2 linked regions of the Stegostoma tigrinum genome follow. Each later gene encodes a partner of the first gene's protein in a complex. Links are inferred from orthologs where the notes say so. Each region holds a gene or a part of one and is shown in the gene's direction. Other genes may lie near its edges. The genes, in order: spg7 and voltage-dependent anion-selective channel protein 1.

Region 1 (10,524 bases):
AGTTGACCTGTTACAAGATTTCACGGGATAATAGGCTGACAATCTTGCTCTAATTATGGCATAGAGATTACATTTATTTGCTAAACCTTTCTTGTAAATAAAAGCAAAATATTAAGAGTATCTGAAGGTGTTGTTTCATGGCATGGCAATAGACAAATGGTCGATGTTGTAAAATACCTGTAAAAGTAAAGACTTTTCTGAACAAATCAATTCTTAAAAGAATTTATAATTTGTATAATTATAATTTATACTCCTTGTATTAGATTCCCCACAGTGTGGAAACAGGCCCTTTGATCCAACAAGTCCACACTGCCCTTTGGAGCATCCCACACACCCCTGAACACATGCAATTTAGCCTAGCTGATCCACCTAGCCTGCACATCTTTGGACTGTGGGAGGAAACTGGAGCACCTGGAGGAAACCTACACAGACATGGGAAGAATGTGCAAACTCCACACAGACTGGAGGCTGGAATCAAACCTGAGAACCTGGTGCTGTGAGGCTGCAGTGCTAGCCACTGTGCCACCCATATTATTGCACTTTTTTTTTCTACTCACCCACAAGAACAGAGATATCAGCAGCAAAGTCAGCTAATGTTGTGGTAGGAGTCAATTTAGTTATGTGTTCAAGTTCTGTCTGAAATAGACAATCGCATTACTTTGGTCTCGAGATGCTTCTAGGTAAAACCTTGACTAAGGCAACAGATTTCCTTTCCTAAAGGATATTATTAACTTTTTTATTGCAGATTGATTTAATTAACTGACTTTAAATTCCCTAGCTACTGTGATGGGATTTGAGCACATATCATCAGATCATAATCCCTAGATTAGTAGTCTATTAACACAACCATTATGCTAACATTCACAATTTTTAATTTGTGATGGAATAAATAATGAGGCAAATTTTCCCAAAGGCTGCCAATTTCAATTTTGACCATGTCAAAATGGTTTACTTTTAGGACAGGTAAATTAAAATTAAGTAGGATACCCTTCTTAAAATTGATTCTACAATCAGTGTTGTAAGAGCATTGCCTAAATTTGAGATAGCTTGATGCCAAGAACTTGTCCAAAAAATGTCAAGACATAAAAATAATAGACTGCAAAGGTTCTGAAAGTGTCTAGTTTAACAAATGTTTACTCATCAATTGGTCTTGGAAAAACTTCCTCCCTATTCCCAAATTAACAAGGATAAGTAAGTTGTGGTGCTTCTATCGTTAGTTCTGATGAAGAATTACTAGCCTTGAAACCTTAACTTTGCTTTCTTCCCATAGATTCTGCCACACTTGCTGGGTTTCATCAGCAATTTCTGTTTTTTCCTTCGGTTTCAGATCTTAAGCCTCTGCAATTTTTTGCTTTATTACATACACTGAGCATATTAGCTTGTGATGAACTGTTATTTGCAGAGATGGAGGATAAATATTTTTTAAAACGTTGAACAGTTTAAAAGAATTTCAAGTGTATTTTTTGCTTTATTACATACACTGAGCATATTAGCTTGTGATGAACTGTTATTTGCAGAGATGGAGGATAAATATTTTTTAAAACGTTGAACAGTTTAAAAGAATTTCAAGTGTATGGTTAACTGTCTGCACTCTAATGCCCATGAAAGTGACTTCTCCACTTTATCTTTGTTACTGTGGCTTTAGAAAGCAATAAATAGCCTATCAGTAATGCAATGTACAAAGTCATCTTTCTAGTGATTGTTGATCCATTCTGCAGGATGTTTCTCTCTTTTAGCTAGCGAGTATCCTACTATGAACAAGAGTACTATTCTTTGAAATTGATGAATTCTCAATGCCTTGAGTTCTGCCGCTGTACTCACATCCGTGCATCTGACAGGAAAATGTAAAGCCGAATAAACAAAAAAAGACTTGTATTCCATGAATGTGCAATGGTATGTCATGCCAACAACATAATTCCAGATTGGAGTGCCAACTAACTCTGGCAGCACCCACAACTCATCCTTGTTAATGTGGGATTAGGGAGGAAGTCTCTGCAAGACCAATTGATGAGTGAATGTTTGTTAAACTAGAGATTTTCAATATCTTTGCATTTTATTATTTCTATGTATTGACCTTTTTTTGGTCAAGTTCTTGCCATCAAGCCTTGTCAGCGATGCCCATGTTCCAAGATTCTTTTCAAATGTCATTTGTAATGGCAAATGATTTTCGTTCTTACCTCGTAGACATGAAGTATTGCCTGGGTGCTAAGGTGATGGCGGATCCAGGCAGGGACATTTGATATCATCTGCTCCAACCTTGCCTTGGTTTGTTTGTTGATGAATCTCTTAAAAATGCCCTCCTGGCCAACCTCCAATTTTCATCCCTCCAAAAAGTTAATATTATTTAAAACTCTGCTTTCCATGTAATAACTCATCATTCTATTTGACCTGTGCCCCATCTCCAATATGTGGATTCCCAGTCCAACTGTGCTTGATTTCTTATAACTTATCTGAACAGATTGATTACAAAATATCTAAATTTAAGGACTCATCTTCCTTTCAAAGTGAATCCATACGCCCATCTGCCTTCTAAGGTGGATATAATCAGCAAGAACAGATAGGTCGCCCATTTAAGGGCAGAGGTAGCTACTATCTGAGTCATAGGACAGGAGTCATAATCATCTTGCATGGAAATAGATCCTTCAGTCCAACCAGTCCAGGTCGACCATAATCCCAAACTAAACTCGATCCACTTGCCTGTGTTTTGCCCATATCCCTCCAAACATTTCCCATTCATAAACTTACATAAATGTTTTTTAAAATTGTAACTGTACCTGTATCTCTGAAAGTTCATTCCACATACAAACCATTCTCTGTGTAAAGAAAAAAAAGCTGCCACTCATGTCTTTTTGTTTTAAGTCTTTCTCCTCTCATCTTAAAAATATGCCCGCTAGTCTTCAAATCACGCACCTGAGGGAAAAGACAGCTGCCATTCACTTTACCTATATCCCTCATTATTTTGTAAACCTCTATCAGGTGACCCCTCAACCAACTGTGCTCCTGTAAAAAATGCCCCAGCTTATCCAGCCTTTACAACTGAAACCCTCCATTCCTGGTAACATTCTGGTAAATCTCTTCTGAACCCTCTCCAGCTTAATAATATTTTGCCTATAATTGAATGACCAGGACTAGACACAATATTTGAAGAGGGCTCACCAATGTCCTGTACATCCTCAATATAACATCCCAACTCCAATATTCAATGCTCTGAGTAATGAAGGACTTTTTAGGAATTCTGTTATCTACAGTGAGCAGTGCCCTGAGAGAGACGCTAGCTTATATTAAAATATATGTAATTCAATGATGTAAAATATCAAGCCAGATTCAAGTCCTGTTGACTTCTTTGCATTGCAGTCATCTTAACTCCCGCCAATGTGAAACCGCTGCTGTTTTGCATTGGTATTGCTGGCACAATGATGCTACCCGTAGGTTGCAAGAACAGCAACTCATATTCCGCTTCGGAACCCTGCAGCCCAATGGTATCAATGTGGACTTCACAAGCTTCAAAATCTCCCCTTCCCCCACTGCATCCCAAAACCAGCCCAGTTCTTCCCCTCCCCTCACTGCATCCCAAAACCAGCCCAGACTGTCTCCGCTTCTCTAACCTGTTCTTCCTCCCACCCATCCCTTCCTCCTACCTCAAGCTGCACCTCCATTTCCTACCTACCACCTCTCCCGCCTCATTGACCTGTCCGTCTTCCCTGGACTGACCTATCCCCTCCCTACCTCCCCACCTATACTCTCCTCTCTACCTATCTTCTTTTCTCTCCATCTTCGGTCCGCCTCCCCCTCTCTCCCTATTTATTCCAGTTCCCTCTCCCCATCCCCCTCTCTGATGAAGGGTCTAGGCCCGAAGCATCAACTGTTGTGCTCCTGAGATGCTGCTTGGCCTGCTGTGTTCATCCATCTCCACACCTTGTTATCTTAGCAAAGAAGGTTATCTCAGAGTACATCAGGATCTTGATAGGTGGGCAAATGGGCTGGAGAATGGCAGATATTTGATTTAGATAAATGTGTGGTGCTGCAATTCGGAAAGGCAAATTGGGGCATGACTTATACAGTTAATGGTAAGATCCTGGGGAATGTTGCTGAACAAGGAATGTTGATAATGGGAAATAATGGGACATTCAGTGATGGTAACACCAGTGAATGTCGAGGGATGATGGTTAAATTATCTCTTGTGGCATTTGTATGGTGTAAATGTTATTTGCCACTTGTCAATCCAAGCCTTGTATTTTAATATGGACTGCTTCAGTATCTGAGGAGTCACAAATGGTGCTGAATATGTGCACTTTTTGGCAAACATCCCTGCTGCTGACTTTATGATGGAAGGAATGGCATTGATGATTACTGGGACTAGGACACTACCCTGAGGAACTCCTGCATAGATGTCCTGGAGCTGACTTCCAACAACCACAACCGTCTTCCTGTGTGCCAAGTATGACTCCAACCAGCAGAGAGTGTGTCACCAGATATTCATTGATTCCTAGGGCTTAATTTGCTACGGCTCCTTGTGCCACACTTGGGTGAATGCGGTTTCGATGTCAAAGATTGTCAGTCTCACCTCACCGCTGAAATTCATCTCTTTTCTCCATGTTTGAACCAAGGCTGTAATGAGATCAGGAGCTGAGTGTCCCTGATGAATCCCAACCTGGATGTCAGCGAGCCAGTTATTGCTGAGTAGGTGCTGCTTTATATCACTGCTGATGACCTCGGTTCGCAATAAACAATTGCACCTCCCAGTCGCAAACCATTTCCACTCCCCCTCCCATTCTTTAGATGGCATGTCCATCATGGGCCTCCTGCAATGCCACAATGATGCCACCCGAAGGTTGCAGGAACAGCAACTCATATTCCGCTTGGGAACCCTGCAGCCCAATGGTATCAATGTGGACTTCACCAGCTTCAAAATCTCCCCTTCCCCCACCACATCCCAAAACCAGCCCAGTTCGTCCCCTCCACCCACTGCATCCCAAAACCAGCCCAGCCTGTCTCTGCCTCCCTAACCTGTTCTTCCTCTCACCCATCCCTTCCTCCCACCCCAAGCTGCACCTCCATCTCCTACCTACTAACCTCATCCCACCTCCTTGACCTGTCCATCTTCCCTGGACTGACCTATCACCTCCCACCTATACTCTCCTCTCCACCTATCTTCTTTTCTCTCCATCTTCAGTCCGCCTCTCCCTATTTATTCCAGAACCCTCACCCCATCCCCCTCTCTGATGAAGGGTCTAGGCCCGAAATGTCAGCTTTTGTACTCCTGAGATGCTGCTGGGCCTGCTGTGTTCATCCAGCGCCTCACATTTTATTATCTTGGATTCTCCAGCATCTGCAGTTCCCATTATCACCGATGACGGTTTCCATCACTTTACCAATTATTGAGAGCAGCCTGACGGGATAGTAATTGGCTGGGTTGGATTTGCCATGCTTCTTGTATAAAAGTCATACCTGGACAATTTAATTGCCTTAATTAGTTCAGGGCACCTTAATTAGTTTGTACAGCTTTAGATTACTTTTTACATTGGTTAGACCCTCAATACGTGACTCATACCTATCACGTTATTCCAGCCATTTTGGTTTGTCTCCAGCACCATCTGATTTTTAAAAGTTTTTGTCGTTATCTCTCTGCCTCAATTAATCAGATCATATGCCATCCTTTCACTTGCTAATCAGCCTGTAGACACGCCGCTCACAGCATTTGTATGATCTTTTGACTTCACTGCCTGTAAATTTTTTGCCTGTGTGATTATCTTCATTTCAACTGACACAAAAAAAACCCAGCACTCCAAAAACTTGTAATTCAGAATAAACCTTTGGATTATAACCTGCAGTTGTGTGACGTCTGACCATGCATGCCCACCCCAGTCCAATATCGGCACCTGTACACCATGGCTACCATCCACATAACGGATAGAGAATGAACTACCTCAAAGTGTGGTTGAGGTGGATTCAAAGGTTTCAAAAGGAAAATTCAACAGAGAGAATTTGCAGAGCTACAGGGAGAAGGGAGTGTGGTGGAAATGGTTGAGTGTCATTCGTATCAAGGCCAGGCTGACCGAATAACTGCCTTCTGTTCCGTAACCATGCTGTGATTCTAAAACCTGAAATACCCTTTGAATATTAATACAGTACAAGTAGTCATAAATTGAATACGTGCCTGTAAAGCCACAAATTGTTTGGAAAACTCAGCATGTCTGGCATCATCTGCGGGGAGAAAACAGAATTAACGTATCGGATCCGGTGACTCTTCATTGGTTCTAGCAATTTTTGTTTTTGTTTCCAATTTCCGGCATCCGCCTTTTACTTTCGTTCGGGGAATTATTGTTTTTATTTGCCTATAAAGGCAAATTGGTTTGAGAAATTGTAAAGAAATTATTTTTGATTGCCCAACAAAGTGTATAATTTTACTTCAGACAGGCCGACACATTATCACTGTCCTAGACCCCAGCCTGTCGCACTGCGCATGCGCTAGTGTTTCTGACGCGTTGCCAGGTTGTCAGGGAAGGTGACGGACAGTTGGTTCAAGATGGCCGCCTGGTTAGCCTGGCAGCTGCAGCAGCACAGTGGCTGTGCGAGAAATCTTCCAGCGGTATTGTGGTCTTTTAACAAAAAGTCTTTGCAATTTCGGACTTTTGCTTTGAGCGCTGCTTTCCCGAAAGAGGCCTTGAGATGGAACTTTGCCAGTGGAATTTGTGACTTAGGAAGGACGCGATTTGATTTCAGTAGATCCTGTTGTCATCAAGACAGGGATCCTATATTAAAGGTGAGTCAGTGTTATTTGTATTGCTTTTCGAAGAAATGTCGGGTGGATTGAAAAGAACTTCGATTGCTATTGATAATGATATGAAATAGGTGCACGATTTCTGTACTTTGTACGTAGTATTTGAAAGTGCTCCTTAGGCCGTTACGTAACATTAAATGACAGGGTAATAGGGGATAGCGTTGAAAATAATTTAGGCGAGTAGGACTGAAAAAACGTAAACTTCAATTAGTGGAAGTTAAATTTTAGGATAGAGAAACAACAGTTTGGCTCATCATGTGTGTGTTGGTGATTTAAAGTCTACCACCCTCCCTAATTGCACCCTGTATCGTTATGGAGAGATCCTAGGAAGAATTTCATGCAAATTGTTAAATATTGGCCACTTGATTAATCTGTGCTGACCCCTTAAAATAACCACTTGTGTACTGCTACTCCATTGCCTTCTCCCCATATCCTTGGAACATTTGATCTCCTCAGATAATGAGAAACACTTATGGCACAATGGAATGCCACTCTGCCCATTTTACATCAAGAATGAACCACCTAGCTTAATCACTTCTTTTAGCACTTGGTCTGCATCCTCCAGGTAATGGGACATCAGGTGCATACCAGATACTTTTAAAATAATTTGAGAGTTTTGCCCCTGCCATCCGTTCAGGCAGGACTTCTAGACTCCTACCATCCACTAGGTGAAAATAAACTTCCTCTTCTCCCTTCTCCTAATCACTTGATAGTAATGCATTCTAGTCACCGACTCTTCTGCTAATGTAAATAGATCCTGCCCATCCATTCTAAGCAGGCTCTCTCAATTTTGTACTCTTCAAAAAAATGCGTCCTGAGCTGCCTCAGTTCGAAGGAAAGCACCATGGTCTCCCAATCTCTTGTCAAAGCTTCAATTTTACACTCCTGGTTACATTCTTGTAAACCTGCCATGTACCACCTTTAGCCCATCTACCGTAATGGGGTGATCAGAACTGCAGTTAGTACATAAATTATGGACTAGCTAATGTCTTACCTAGCTCCAGCACAATTCACCTAATCTTGTACTAATAATGGCTAATGAAGGAAAACATTAATCTGCCTTCTTGCTATCTAATCTACCTGTTACACTGCATTCAATGACCCACGGATATACACTTGGCCTACACTTCTATGTCCTCCCATTTATTATGTATTTTTAAAATTTTTTTCATGGAATGTGTGCATCATTGGCTGGGCCTGTATTTATTGGCTGTCTCTAATTACCCAGAGGATCAACCATATTGCTGTGGGTCTGGAGTCATACGTAGGCCAGATCAGGACAGCAATTTCTTCCCCTTAAATATATGTGAGCTAAATAGTTTTCCCCCCAACAATGGTTTCATAGGCATCATTACTCTTGCAGATTTTTTAAATTGAATTAAAATTGCACCATCTGCCACAGCTGGATTCAAACCCTATCCCCAGAACATTACCTTAGTCCCTTTAGTGCAAATACTGTTAGTCCATTGCCTCCCCAATTCCTCTGCCTTGTTTGACCTCCCCAAATACATTGGCTCATACTTCTCCAGGATGAATACCATTTTTTTCACTTTTTTGCTTATTTGACCAGTCCATTGATTCCCTTGTGCATTCTACAGTTTCAGTCCTCCCTATCAACCATGGAGTTATACAACACAGCAACAGATCCTTTGGCCCAACCAGTCCGTGCCGAACATAATCCCAAACTAAATTAGTCCCAACTGGTTGCTCCTGGCCCGTATCCTTCCAAACCTTTCCTCTTCGTGGATCTACCCAAATGTCTTTTAAACATTGTTATTGTACCCGCCACCATCACTTCCTCAGGAAGTTTATTCCATGTGCGAACTACCCTCAGTGTAAAAAAAAATTGCCTCATGTCTTTTTTAAATTTCTCTCCTCTCACCATAAAAAAAGTGCCCCCTAGTCTTGAAATCCCCTATCCTAGGGAAAAAGCAACCACCGTTTACTCGATCAATACCTCATTAAATTATTAACTTCTATCAGGTCACCTCCCTACCTCCTGTGCTCCAGCGAAAAACATCCTAGCCAATCCACCCTTTCACACCCAGCAGCTTCCTAGTAAATCTTCTGTGATTCCTGTCCAGCTTGAGAGTATCCTACCTCTGACTGGGTGATTAGAACTGGACTCGGTATTCTAGAAGTGGCCTCACTAATGTCGTGTAGAACCTCAATATGACTTCCTAATTCTGATGCTCAGAGGACTGAGCAATGACGGCAAGTGTGCCAAAGGCCTTTTTAACTACCCTGTCTACATGTGCATATTTTAAAGTAGATCTGTTTGTTCCCTGCATGTAATTTGCATTCTAATATGTGGCCAATTTTTGCATTGTCTGCAAATGTCTTGATTGTGGCCCCTAACTTCAAGCTCAAGTCATTCATACAGACAACAAAATGCAAGTCACCAGGTATTGATACCACTGGAAGCAGTTTCCCAATTTGAAAAATACCCTGAGTTATTATACCTGTATCCTGTCACTGAGTTAATTTTGTATTTAGCTTGCTACATTCCTGTGGTCCCCATGGGTTTTTTAAAACCATTCAGCTATGTGAGTCCTTGTAAAAAAACCTTGCAAAAAATCACGTAGATCAGATTAATTGTGTTACGCTTGTTAATCTTGCTTATCACCTCGTCAAAAGATTCAGTTAAAACCAGAAGTTGTAGGAGCAGAAGTAGACCATTTGCCCCAGTGAGTATTGTCCACCATTCCCTGATGTCATGGCTAAGATCATAGAATCAGTTATCCAGCACAGAAACAAGCCATTCGGCCCAACTCGCCCATAGAACATAGAACAGTACAGCACAGAACAGGCCCTTCAGCCCACAATGTTGTGCCGACCATTGATCCTCATGTATGCACCCTCAAATTTCTGTGACCATATACATGTCCAGCAGTCTCTTAAATGACCCCAATGACCTTGCTTCCACAACTGCTGCTGGCAACGCATTCCATGCTCTCACAACTCTCTGCGTAAAGAACCTGCCTCTGACATCCCCTCTATACTTTCCACCAACCAGCTTAAAACTATGACCCCTCGTGCTAGCCATTTCTGCCCTGGGAAATAGTCTCTGGCTATCAACTCTATCTATGCCTCTCATTATCTTGTATACCTCAATTAGGTCCCCTCTCCTCCTCCTTTTCTCCAATGAAAAGAGACCGAGCTCAGTCAACCTCTCTTCATAAGATAAGCCCTCCAGTCCAGGCAGCATCCTGGTAAACGTCCTCTGAACCCTCTCCAAAGCATCCACATCTTTCCTATAATAGGGCGCCCAGAACTGGACGCAGTATTCCAAGTGCGGTCTAACCAAAGTTTTATAGAGCTGCAACAAGATCTCACGACTCTTAAACTCAATCCCCCTGCTAATGAAAGCCAAAACACCATATGCTTTCTTAACAACCCTGTCCACTTGGGTGGCCATTTTAAGGGATCTATGTATCTGCACACCAAGATCCCTCTGTTCCTCCACGCTGCCAAGAATCCTATCCTTAATCCTGTACTCAGCTTTCAAATTCGACCTTCCAAAATGCATCACCTTGCATTTATCCAGGTTGAACTCCATCTGCCACCTCTCAGCCCATCTCTGCATCCTGTCAATGTCCCGCTGCAGCCTACAACAGCCTTCTACACTGTCAACGACACCTCCGACCTTTGTGTCGTCTGCAAACTTGCTGACCCATCCTTCAATCCCCTCATCCAAGTCATTAATAAAAATTACAAACAGTAGAGGCCCAAGGACAGAGCCC
Region 2 (10,199 bases), on another chromosome or scaffold:
TAATAGTATTCTTCAAGTTTGTATTGTTCTAGACCAGGTAGCAATAACCTTCTATCTTGACCATAGGTTCTGCATACGCAGATTATTTAGCATAAGGCAAATTAAACTGCTTAGAGAAATGAAACTGTAATCTTAATGTATTAGCCACCTTTCCTAACTGTGAACTAATGAGAGAGTGTAATAGAAAGGGATGTTAAAGGAGTTGGGGAGTTGCATTACTGATTAAGGAGAATGTCACAGTTGCACTAAGACAGGGCATCTTGGAGGGCTCATCCAGCAAGGCCATATGGGTAAGACAAAGGAATAAGAAATTTGCAATCATTATAGTGAGCTATACTGTAGGCTTCCCGATAGCCAGTGGGAGATATGAGGAACAGATATGTAAGCAAATCATGGAAAGGTGTAAAAACAACAGAGGTGTTGTTGGGGTGATTTTAACTCTTCCAATAGTGACCGAGATTCCCACTGTGCTAGGGGCTTAGATGTGGCAGAATTTATTAGGAGCATCCAGGAGGGACTCTTGAAACATCATATGGATAATCCAATTAGGGAAGGAGCCATGTCAGATATTGTATTGGGGAATGAGCATGGCCAGGTGATTGAAGTTTCAGTGGGGAAGCATTTCAGGAACAGTGATCATAGATCCATAACTACCTTAAACCTTATGGAAAAGGGTAAGACTGGTCCTACGGTCTGACAAGATCTATCCGAGAATACTGAGGAATGCAAGTGAGGAGATTGCTGGAATCTTCGTATCCTCATTAGTAGCAGGCAAGTTCCCTGAAGACTAGAGAATAACCAATGTTGTTCCTTTGATTATAAAGGGTGACAGGGATAATCCACAAAATTGTAGGCCACTTACATCAGTGGCGGGGAAATTACTGCAGAAGATTGTTAAGGCCAAGATTTACTCATGTTTGGAAAGAAAACTGACTTATTATGAATAGTCAGAGTGGCTCTCTGCAAGGCAGTTCTTGTCCGACAAATGTGATTGAATTTTTAAGAGTTAGTGTTGAAGATGATAATGGTGGTAAGGCAGTGGATGTTGTCTACATGGACTTTACTGAGGTGTTTGACAAGGTTGCTCATGGTAGGCTTGATTGGAAAATTAAGTCTTGTGGGATCTGTGGTAAGTTGGCAAGTTGGGATACAAAATTGGCTTTGTTATAGAAGAGAAAGGGTAGTTGAGGAGGGGTTCATTTCTGACTGAAGGTCTGTGACCAGTGGTGTTCCAAAAGGATCAATGCTGGGACCTTTGTTGTTTGCAACATTCATAAATGCGTTGAATGAAAATATAGGTGGTCTGATTAGTAGGTTGGCAGATAATGTGAAAATTGGTGGAGTTTTGGATAGCGAGAAAGGTTGTCTACTGGAAACTGAGAAGTTGACAAGTCATGTGGCAGCTGCGTAAAACTTTAGTTAGGCCCCATTTAGAGTGTTGTGTGCATTAATTTTTGCCACATCCTAGAAAGGAAGAGAAGGCTTTGGAGAGAGTTCAAAAGAGGTTTGTCTGGATGTTGTCTGAATTGGAACAGATTAACTATAAGGAGAGGTTGGACAAACTTGCATTGTTTTTGCTACAGCATTTGAGGCTGAGGTATGACCTGATAAAAGTATATAAAATTATGGATAAGGTGAAATAGGTTTCAGGTGAGGGGGAAAAGTTTAAAGGAGATATGCGGGATACGTTTTTTTGTGCAGAGGTAGGCGCCTGGAATGAGCTGCCTGGAGCGGTGATAGAAGCAGATATGATAGCAACATTTAGGAGGCATTTGAACGGACACATGAACACACAGGGTATAGACAGATACAGATCATATGCAGGCAGATGGGATTAGTTCAGAATGTCATTATGGTTGACATATGGTGGACCAAAGTGCCTGTTCCTGTATTGTACTCTTCTATGTTCTAAACTCTAAGCTTAAACATTACAGAAGAGATTTACTGGGTTTTGCAGGCCAGTAAGCCATTAACTCTGAACAGATCCTGAAAAATTACAAAGGTGTCTTTTTACAGATGTTGGATATCTTCCCAATGAATATTATCCCAAAGTAAATGAGGGCGGTGACCAACCCAGCACCTGTCAAGAAAAGTTCCATTCTGAAAGACAACATAGAACTGCTTTAGAAGAACATTGGAAACAAACCTAGAAAGAAGATAGCATATATGGATCCAAAGGATCTCAACAAAGCCTTGAAGTGATATCATTTCATGGTGCCAGCCAAAGGAACATTGCTACAACTTATCAAGACGAAGGTATTCACTACCTTTGATTCTATGGTTGGTTACTAAGAAGTGAAGCTGGATGAAAACAAGTTTTTTTTAAAAACTTTTAAAACTCTGGATGCCATCTGGGAGAGATATTTACATGCATATGCTGTTAGGCACTTGCATTGTCCCAAAAGAGTGTCAATGCTGACAACGTGAGATTATCAGTGACCTTAATGAAGTGCAAGCAATTTTTGATCATATTGTGGAGACAGAACGAAAGAACCCATCACAGATTACGATCAAAATCTGGTGTAATTGCTAGTGTGCTCGCCAGGTGCCTGAATCTGAACAAGAAGATGCAATTGAAGATGCCTGAATTCAAGTACTGTACTGACAGTAAATGCACTTTGCCTGGAACCTGACAAAGTGAGAACTATTTGGGAGAGGCAAGCTGAGAGTGCACTCTGGCCACAACTGCTCTTCCTCAAACTGCTTCTATTCGCAACAAAGAATGCGACTAACTTTGCGAAGATACAAGTTGGGCATGAAAATATAAGCAAGGGAAATGGATATACACTCTTCTGTTGAGAGCTGCATTCTTAATTAAGAAAGTTGAGAATGCTAATGCAGAGGGTGAAATCTTCCAGCTTCAATATGGAGCAACTGTTCTAGAAATCAGCAACCCAGCAGAGGCAATGAATCTGAACTACAAGGGTCTTACTCAAATAAGGTGAATTATACACAAGATGTAACTCTCCAAATCCTGCAGGAAGCAATGATGAAAAGATGGCCTGAAACCATGAAGGACACAGATGTAGCTGTAAGACTATTTGGCATAGAGAGACAAAGAAAGAGCCCAGTACGGCATCTGGTACAAACCAAGTAGTCATTATCCTTAAGGAAGTGAGAAGTATACTGAACCGCATCCATGCTAGCCATCAAGGGATTGAGTCTGGTCTGAGGAAGGCAAGAAAAGCGCTCTACTGGCCAAACATGAACAATGATTACGAACTAAAACCAACACAACGTTTGTAACAAATACCAAGGTCAGCAAGTCAGGGAGACACTGAGGACACATGACATCCGAGGCAGACTATGGGTGAAGCCTGAAGTAGATGTCTTCACTGTTGCAGTGACTGATTACTTTGTTATCATCGATTACTATTCTGACCACTGGAAGTTTGACCAGCTGGTGTTCATGATAATCAGTGAGATTGTAGAATGCCTGAAAGCACTTCAGTCATTACAGTATTCCAGATATTGTCATGAGTAACAATGTTACTCAGTGTTCAGTTGTTTCATAAAGAATTAGAAAATTCAAAAGTATACAATTTCATGCCATCCTGAGTAAAATGGAAAGGTTGAAGCTGCAGTTCAATGTATCAAAGGGATCACAAAGAAATTGAGAAAATTCAGCAGAGTTGTATAAGGCAATCCTTCAGCAAAAAAATACATCAACTGAAGGCACAGAAAGTCACCCAGTCCAAAGATTATTATTATGCACAAAAATTCAAGGTGAAATGGCGGAAAACCAAATTTGACCAAACCAGTTAAAACTGCCAAGGCATGACCAGAGCTGAGTATTAGAGAACAAGTCAGTGTGTAAATCTTCGGCGCTTTCAATAAAAGTCAGCCTAATTACTAAGTTGGGACCTGTGACGAGCAGTTGTCATCTCAATTTGTTCAAGGGAACATGCAACATGCATGTACAACTAGAGAAGTTGTGCATTCACAGGAGGCAATGGATCAGGAAGAATCGATTTCATTATCTACAGAATGGGCATCACTCCTTGAGAGCCACTGTTACCCAGCAACAGAAACGGATTCACAACAAGAGATATCAGGGCAACAGCATCACCACAGGAATGGAACTCCCTGGACAAGCAGTATCAACATTCGAACGAGCACATATCACAGGATCAGCCAACGACAAAGCACACAGAGAATAATGGGACTTGCAAAACGTAAAGACTGCTATTGCAATGCGTACGTAGAGACCGAATGAAGTGACTAGAGTCAGCACACATTATTGTTAATGAATGATAGGTTTATTGCTCACCACGTCTATCGCGGAACTTTCAATTGCAATGACTGTGCGAAAAAGGAACGTTCGAAAAAATGGCATCAGACCGTCCTCCCTGGACTGACATATCTCCCCCCTACCTCCCCAACTACACTCACCTTTACTGGCTCCATCCTCGCCTCTTTAGCTTGTCTGTCTCCCCTCCACCTATCTTCTCTATCCATCTTCGATCCGTCTACCCCTCTCCCCCTCCCTCTTTTCTGATGAAGGGACTAGGCCCGAAACATCAGCTTTCCTGCTCCTCTGATGCTGCTGGGCCTGTTGTGTTCATCCAGCTCTACACCTGGTTATTTCGAAGAAATGTAATTGTGCCCTCACTCTATCAGCTGGCTTGCCACAGTCAGGTAACGTCTACCCATTCTGCCTATGTGAGGAGTCCGTGAGTAACATTAGACATATCCCACTTGAGCCAAAATAAATTCTAAAATAGTAATTTCTCATTTGCTCATACCGCAATGCTTCAGCCCTGTCCGACTTCTCTGCTGAAACTCCACCTAGGAATCATCTCAACCCATTTACGAAATACTTCATCGAAAGCAGGAACACGCCCCTTCTCACTATGCCATTGCGAAGCCAACAGTCGGTTTATTCATAAGCACATGTGTCTCCAGCAGGGTGCAAACGTTGTCACTGACCAGTTGAAAATGTGCCGCAGCAGCGCTCAGTCATTGATAATGGGAACTGCAGATGCTGGGGAATCCAAGGTAACAAAGTGTGGAGCTGGATGAACACAGCAGGCCAAGCAGCATCTCAGGAGATTCAAAATCTCCCCTTCCCCTACTGCATCCCAAAACCAGCCCTCAGTAGAGGAAGGGGAGATTTTGAAGCTCCTGAGATGCTGCTTGGCCTACTGTGTTCATTCAGCTCCACACTTTGTTATCAGCACAACAGTCATTCCCTGGAGCCGCTCCCCTCCGTCGCCGCCCCTCACTGCGCACGCGCCGCCGTTCGCCCGCCCCCTCCCCTTGACTGCGCACGCGCCGTTGACTCCACGTCCCGGGGCATCAGCGCATGTGCAGTCGTTCCCTTTCGGTCAGTGTGTGCTGCTGAGTTGTTCGTTTGGAAATTGTCGGCTGGAAGCTTTCCCTCCCAGCTCTTCAGAGGTATGTTTGTGTAACACCGGCGAGAAGAGGACATGTCAGGTAGTCTATGTTCACAAGGAGAGAGGCGGGAGTGAAAATTCTGGACGTTGCTGGAAAGGGATTTGAGTTTAAAGGCCGGGGCTGGGAGTAGGTGGATGGCATCATGTTTGCCTGTTCTTCTCCAGGGTTACGGTCCGTAATCTACCTCTCTGCCACGAGGTTGAGTCCATGGAATAGCAAAGCTCGTTGAAGGCGTTAACTTATATTTCTTGAGTAGAATCCATGCGTTTGTCTCGCTGGAGTCTGTTGAATGGCGGGTGGAGAGTGACCTTTACCAGCATGCAAGGTTGGGGCACTGACAGCTCTTGCATGTCCTTTGGGCAAAGGCTTTGTAACGCTGTTTGTAGGTAACGCCGCATTTGCAAGCGATCTTCTTTCTGCTTTGTAATAAAAAAGTCTTCCATGTCCGATTTAACATGTATTTTACTTTAATTAGGAACTCTAGTCATAACTATACTCGAGCCTGGCCGTTTGTACCCAATGTGCTGAATATATTTTAGCAACATGTGAAAGCCATGCCAATTTGGAAAGGGCAGTAGTTCCCCACATGTCCTAGGGCTAGAATGACATTTCAAAATGTTCATGTCACAATCTTAGGTTGAAACTTTGAGGCGAAGATATTATGCAAACAGTCTCAAAATTCTCTTCATAGAGAGCACTTGCCTTAGATGCTAAACATTTTCACAACTTCATTAACTCTAGTGTCAGTAATGAACCCTCAGACTGATGAGTATAGATAGTAAACTTTTATTTGATATGTTTAGGGCATTAATTTATTCTTGATATTCATGTAAAAATGGCACTACATGTATTCAGTATCATTGAACATGACTTTCATGCCTGTGTAATGGGGAGAAGGCTGCTCCTCAAATGTTGGCCTTTGCTTTGTAATTTGAAAAACACAATGATAAGGAAACAAATATCAAGCATCAAAATAAATATGCATTGCCTTTCAAGCTTGTTTCCAATATTATGTTTTTAAATGTTGAAAAGTGAGTCTGTTTTGGTTACATGTGCTGTTGGGATTCTTTACCCTAAAAGTTGAGGCATTGCTTAGCTGGGAAGTGATGCTTGGTCTTAAATCAATAAAATATTATACAATCTTTATCCATCTGTTCATATGTTTGAGAGTTTTCTGTACTTGTCCTCCCTTGTGTCAGTTTCCTGAAATAAAACTGCATGAGGACATTGAAGAGCTACTTCAAATTTTCAGAACGTTGTGGTAGGTACTCCTTCAACTTCCCAATGAATTTAATTTTCATGCAAAATGGGATGTTAACTATCACAGAGCGATTATTTTGTAAGCCAGAATTAAATTGTCAAATGATAATTTGTAAGGATTGTGTGGATATCATGTTGCAACTAACCAAGTTGCTACATCCAGTTTATTTTTCATTTTTTGATCTGGGTGTTACTAAGTAGGTTAGAAATATTTCCCTTTTCAACTTGTTGGGAAATGTGATAAAAGGCTTTCATTTTGTAATACTGCATGGTGTTTGAGTCAACTGATTGAGTTGTGATGCCACTTGTTGGAAGTTCACAGTGACTCAAGTTGGTATGGAAATGAATCTACCTACGCAAGTCAGGAGAGGTAAGAACAGAAAACATTTCTTAAAGATGTTACTGAAGCATTTGTTTTTTTCTTTAAAAATGGCAGTGGTACAGTTACTGATACCAGCTTTTTAGTTCCATGCTTTTGTATAAGCTGAATATATGTTCTTCATGCTGGCATGGTATTTAAACAAATGATCTCTGGATTATTAGCCTAGAACCACAGACTATTAGTGTCTACCATTCTAGTATATATACCTATGCAGATATGTTATTGCACTACAAATGCACCACAATTATTGAAAAAAAGTTAACTGCACTGAACACTCTTCACACAAACTCATTTCGAGTCAGGTCCCTTCTTCAGAAATGTCAAGTTCCCTGCTCCTCTGCTGCCTGGCCTGCTGTGTTCTTCCAGCATCTGCAGTTCTTGCTATCTCCGCACATGAAACTCAGCCTGTTTTCTAAGCACAGTACTTTTTTACTTTTGCATTTTCTGGTTTGATGTGTTTTCTTTCTACCGCATGCCAACCAGGCATTCAGGCAGATGACTTGTCCTGAAGCCCATATCAATAATATTGTATAACCTGTTGCAATTTGTGCATAAAAGTAGCATGGGATTTTTCCATCTGCTTGACAGGGCAGATAAGACTCGGTTTAACAGTGTAACCTCCAGCAGAGTAGTATACCCTCTGCACCACATTGAAGTGTCAGCTTAGATGATGTACGTAAAACAGGATATAAGAAATTGAAGTAGAAATATGCCATTTGACCCCTCAAACCTGCTTTAATATTCAGTAAGATTGGGGCTGATTTGACATAATTTTAACTCTTTTCTCCGAGCCCCCATGGTCCTTCTGTGAATCAAAAATCTTTAGTTCAGTTTCAAATCTTTTTATTGACCCAACCTCCATTATTTGCTGAGGTGGAAAGCTCCAAATACCAGCAACCTTCTGAGAGGAGAAATTCTTCCTTACCTTCATTTCAGATAGGAGATTTCTTATTTTTAAATTTTGCCCCTTAGTTCTAGATTCCCACAAGGGAGTCCTGCCACTGCCATGTCAAACCCTGTCAGAATTTAACAAGGTTCAATTAGATTACCTCTCATTCTTCTAAATTCAATGAGCAAGGGGCCAATGTGCTTATCTTGTCTTCCATAAGTTAAACCCTTTATCCAAGAATCAGCCGTGTAAGCCTCCCCTGAACTACTTCCACTGCAAATATGCTTCTCCTTGAGTAAGGTGCAGAACTGTACACAATATTGGAGAGAGTAGTTTCAGCAGTACTCTGTACAGTTGTATCAAAATGCTCTACTTTTATACACTTTTTCTTGCAGTAAAGACTAGCATTCCATTTGTCTTCCTAATTATTTGCTGCACGTTTATGCTGACCTTTTGCAATTAATGTACAAGGATATTATAATCTCTCTTCCCTGCAACATCATGCAGTCTCCTGTATTTCTATAACACTGTGCTTTCATTCCTGTTGCAATACTAGATAAACTCTCATTTTCCCCACATTATATTCACTCTGCTAAATTATTGTTCACTCATTTAACTTGTCTATATCCCTTTTCAGAACATTTGTATTCTCATCACAGATAACAAAGTGTGGAGCTGGATGAACACAGCAGGCCAAGCAGTATCTTAGGAGTACAAAAGCTGATGTTTCAGGCCCCGGGAAGGATCTAGGCCCGAAACTGAAGTCTTTGTGCTCCTAAGATGCTGCTTGGCCTGCTGTGTTCATCCAGCTCCACGCTTTATCTCGGATTCTCCAGCATCTGCAGTTCCCATTATCTCTGTATCCTCATCACAGCTTGTTTTCCTATTTATCTTCAAACTGTATTGTAATCAAAGTTGCTTTCAGTCGCATATAGTTTAGATTTGTTCATCTCTGGAACCAGTCTGCTGACTCTGGCAAAAGAGCTGCCACTATGTTAAGGGTGGTAATATTAGCTGTGGAATAATACAGATGCAATGGCATTATTCTGTAGTTACGAGAAAATTTAAGATACTTATTATAGTGTAACTTTGGAGCATTGTATATATTATCAGACTAATTTGTTTGGACTTATGAGACTGGCAGACTGTTTATGAAATATGGTGTTCCTAGGATATGCAGGACTTGCATCTTCTCAGTTTAAGAACATAGTATAACAAACTGACAAATTAATTGAGACTGTCACAATCCATCCAATAACTTCAGTTGAACAGGTGACAGGCACTTAAGCATTCATTAAAGGCATCACCACAAGGTAAGTGACTGTCACAAGTTACAGATACGGTGTAAGTGATTGTTTCCTTTAATCTTAGGTAAATCTGTGGACAAAAAATGGAAAAACCTTTTTACTTCACAGGAAGCATAATGGTTTCTTTAAACTTTGTGAAACATCACAGAATTTTCCTGATTATATGTAGCAATGCATTGAACAGGATTAGGGAAAGGAAGGTTAAGTGCAAGATCAGCTCAAACTAGCACATTTATTTGGAAATGCCTCTTGGGTCTTTCAGACTAATATTGCATACATAGGTCATGAGATTCTATAATGTTGCAAATGATTATATGAAGTGAGAACACCTGATGATTGACTTAGTAGTGACTTTGAATGGTAGAACTCAAAGTTAAAGATGATCTTTATGCCTGGAAATGGTAAAGTAGGAATTTTTTAATGAGTAATAGTGAATAGTAAGTAGCTTGTTACATACTCCACTAATCAAAACCCTGTGACTGACATAATTTCACATTGTGTATTTTATTTTCTGACATCCATGCTCTGATGATATTGATTAAATAGTTATGTAAGAATGGAAAATTAGGGAATTCTAAATGTTGTCAATGGCCATCAACTACTCAGCAGAATTTCTCAATTATTATGCTAGATAATGGAGATTACATTATATAAATCTGTTTGCTGATAGTTCCTTAGTATTTTTGTATGAGTACCTTTCAGATGCTGGATAATGTGATTTACTTTGTAGAAGGATTATAGAATTTTAGTAAAAGGCTTCACAATTGAAAAGGAACATTCCTTGCTTGCGACTGCATCCTTTCAAGAGCAGTAATATTCATTAGCCTGGCATGGGATGCTCATGTCTTTTGGTAATTGTGCTTCCAAACCATTGTTAAGATAATGCTACAGGTCTTAATAACAGTTGGCTTGTCTCAAAGCAATTTATAGGGCAGATAGCAAACTTGAGGGCAAGAAAATTTAG

Evidence for each region.
Region 2: spg7 (region 1) and voltage-dependent anion-selective channel protein 1 share a complex: the UniProt entries of both Homo sapiens proteins name them as parts of the mitochondrial permeability transition pore complex. The link is inferred for Stegostoma tigrinum from reciprocal best matches to the Homo sapiens genes SPG7 and VDAC1.

The regions. Positions count from the first base shown.
Region 1 is NC_081369.1:39,397,393-39,407,916, reverse strand, and holds the start of spg7 (paraplegin), read left to right. Parts: upstream 1-6,495; 5' UTR 6,496-6,526; coding exon 6,527-6,763; intron 6,764-10,524. UniProt on the Homo sapiens protein: Catalytic component of the m-AAA protease, a protease that plays a key role in proteostasis of inner mitochondrial membrane proteins, and which is essential for axonal and neuron development.
Region 2 is NC_081366.1:29,522,584-29,532,782, reverse strand, and holds the start of voltage-dependent anion-selective channel protein 1, read left to right. Parts: upstream 1-5,286; 5' UTR 5,287-5,397; intron 5,398-10,199. UniProt on the Homo sapiens protein: Non-selective voltage-gated ion channel that mediates the transport of anions and cations through the mitochondrion outer membrane and plasma membrane.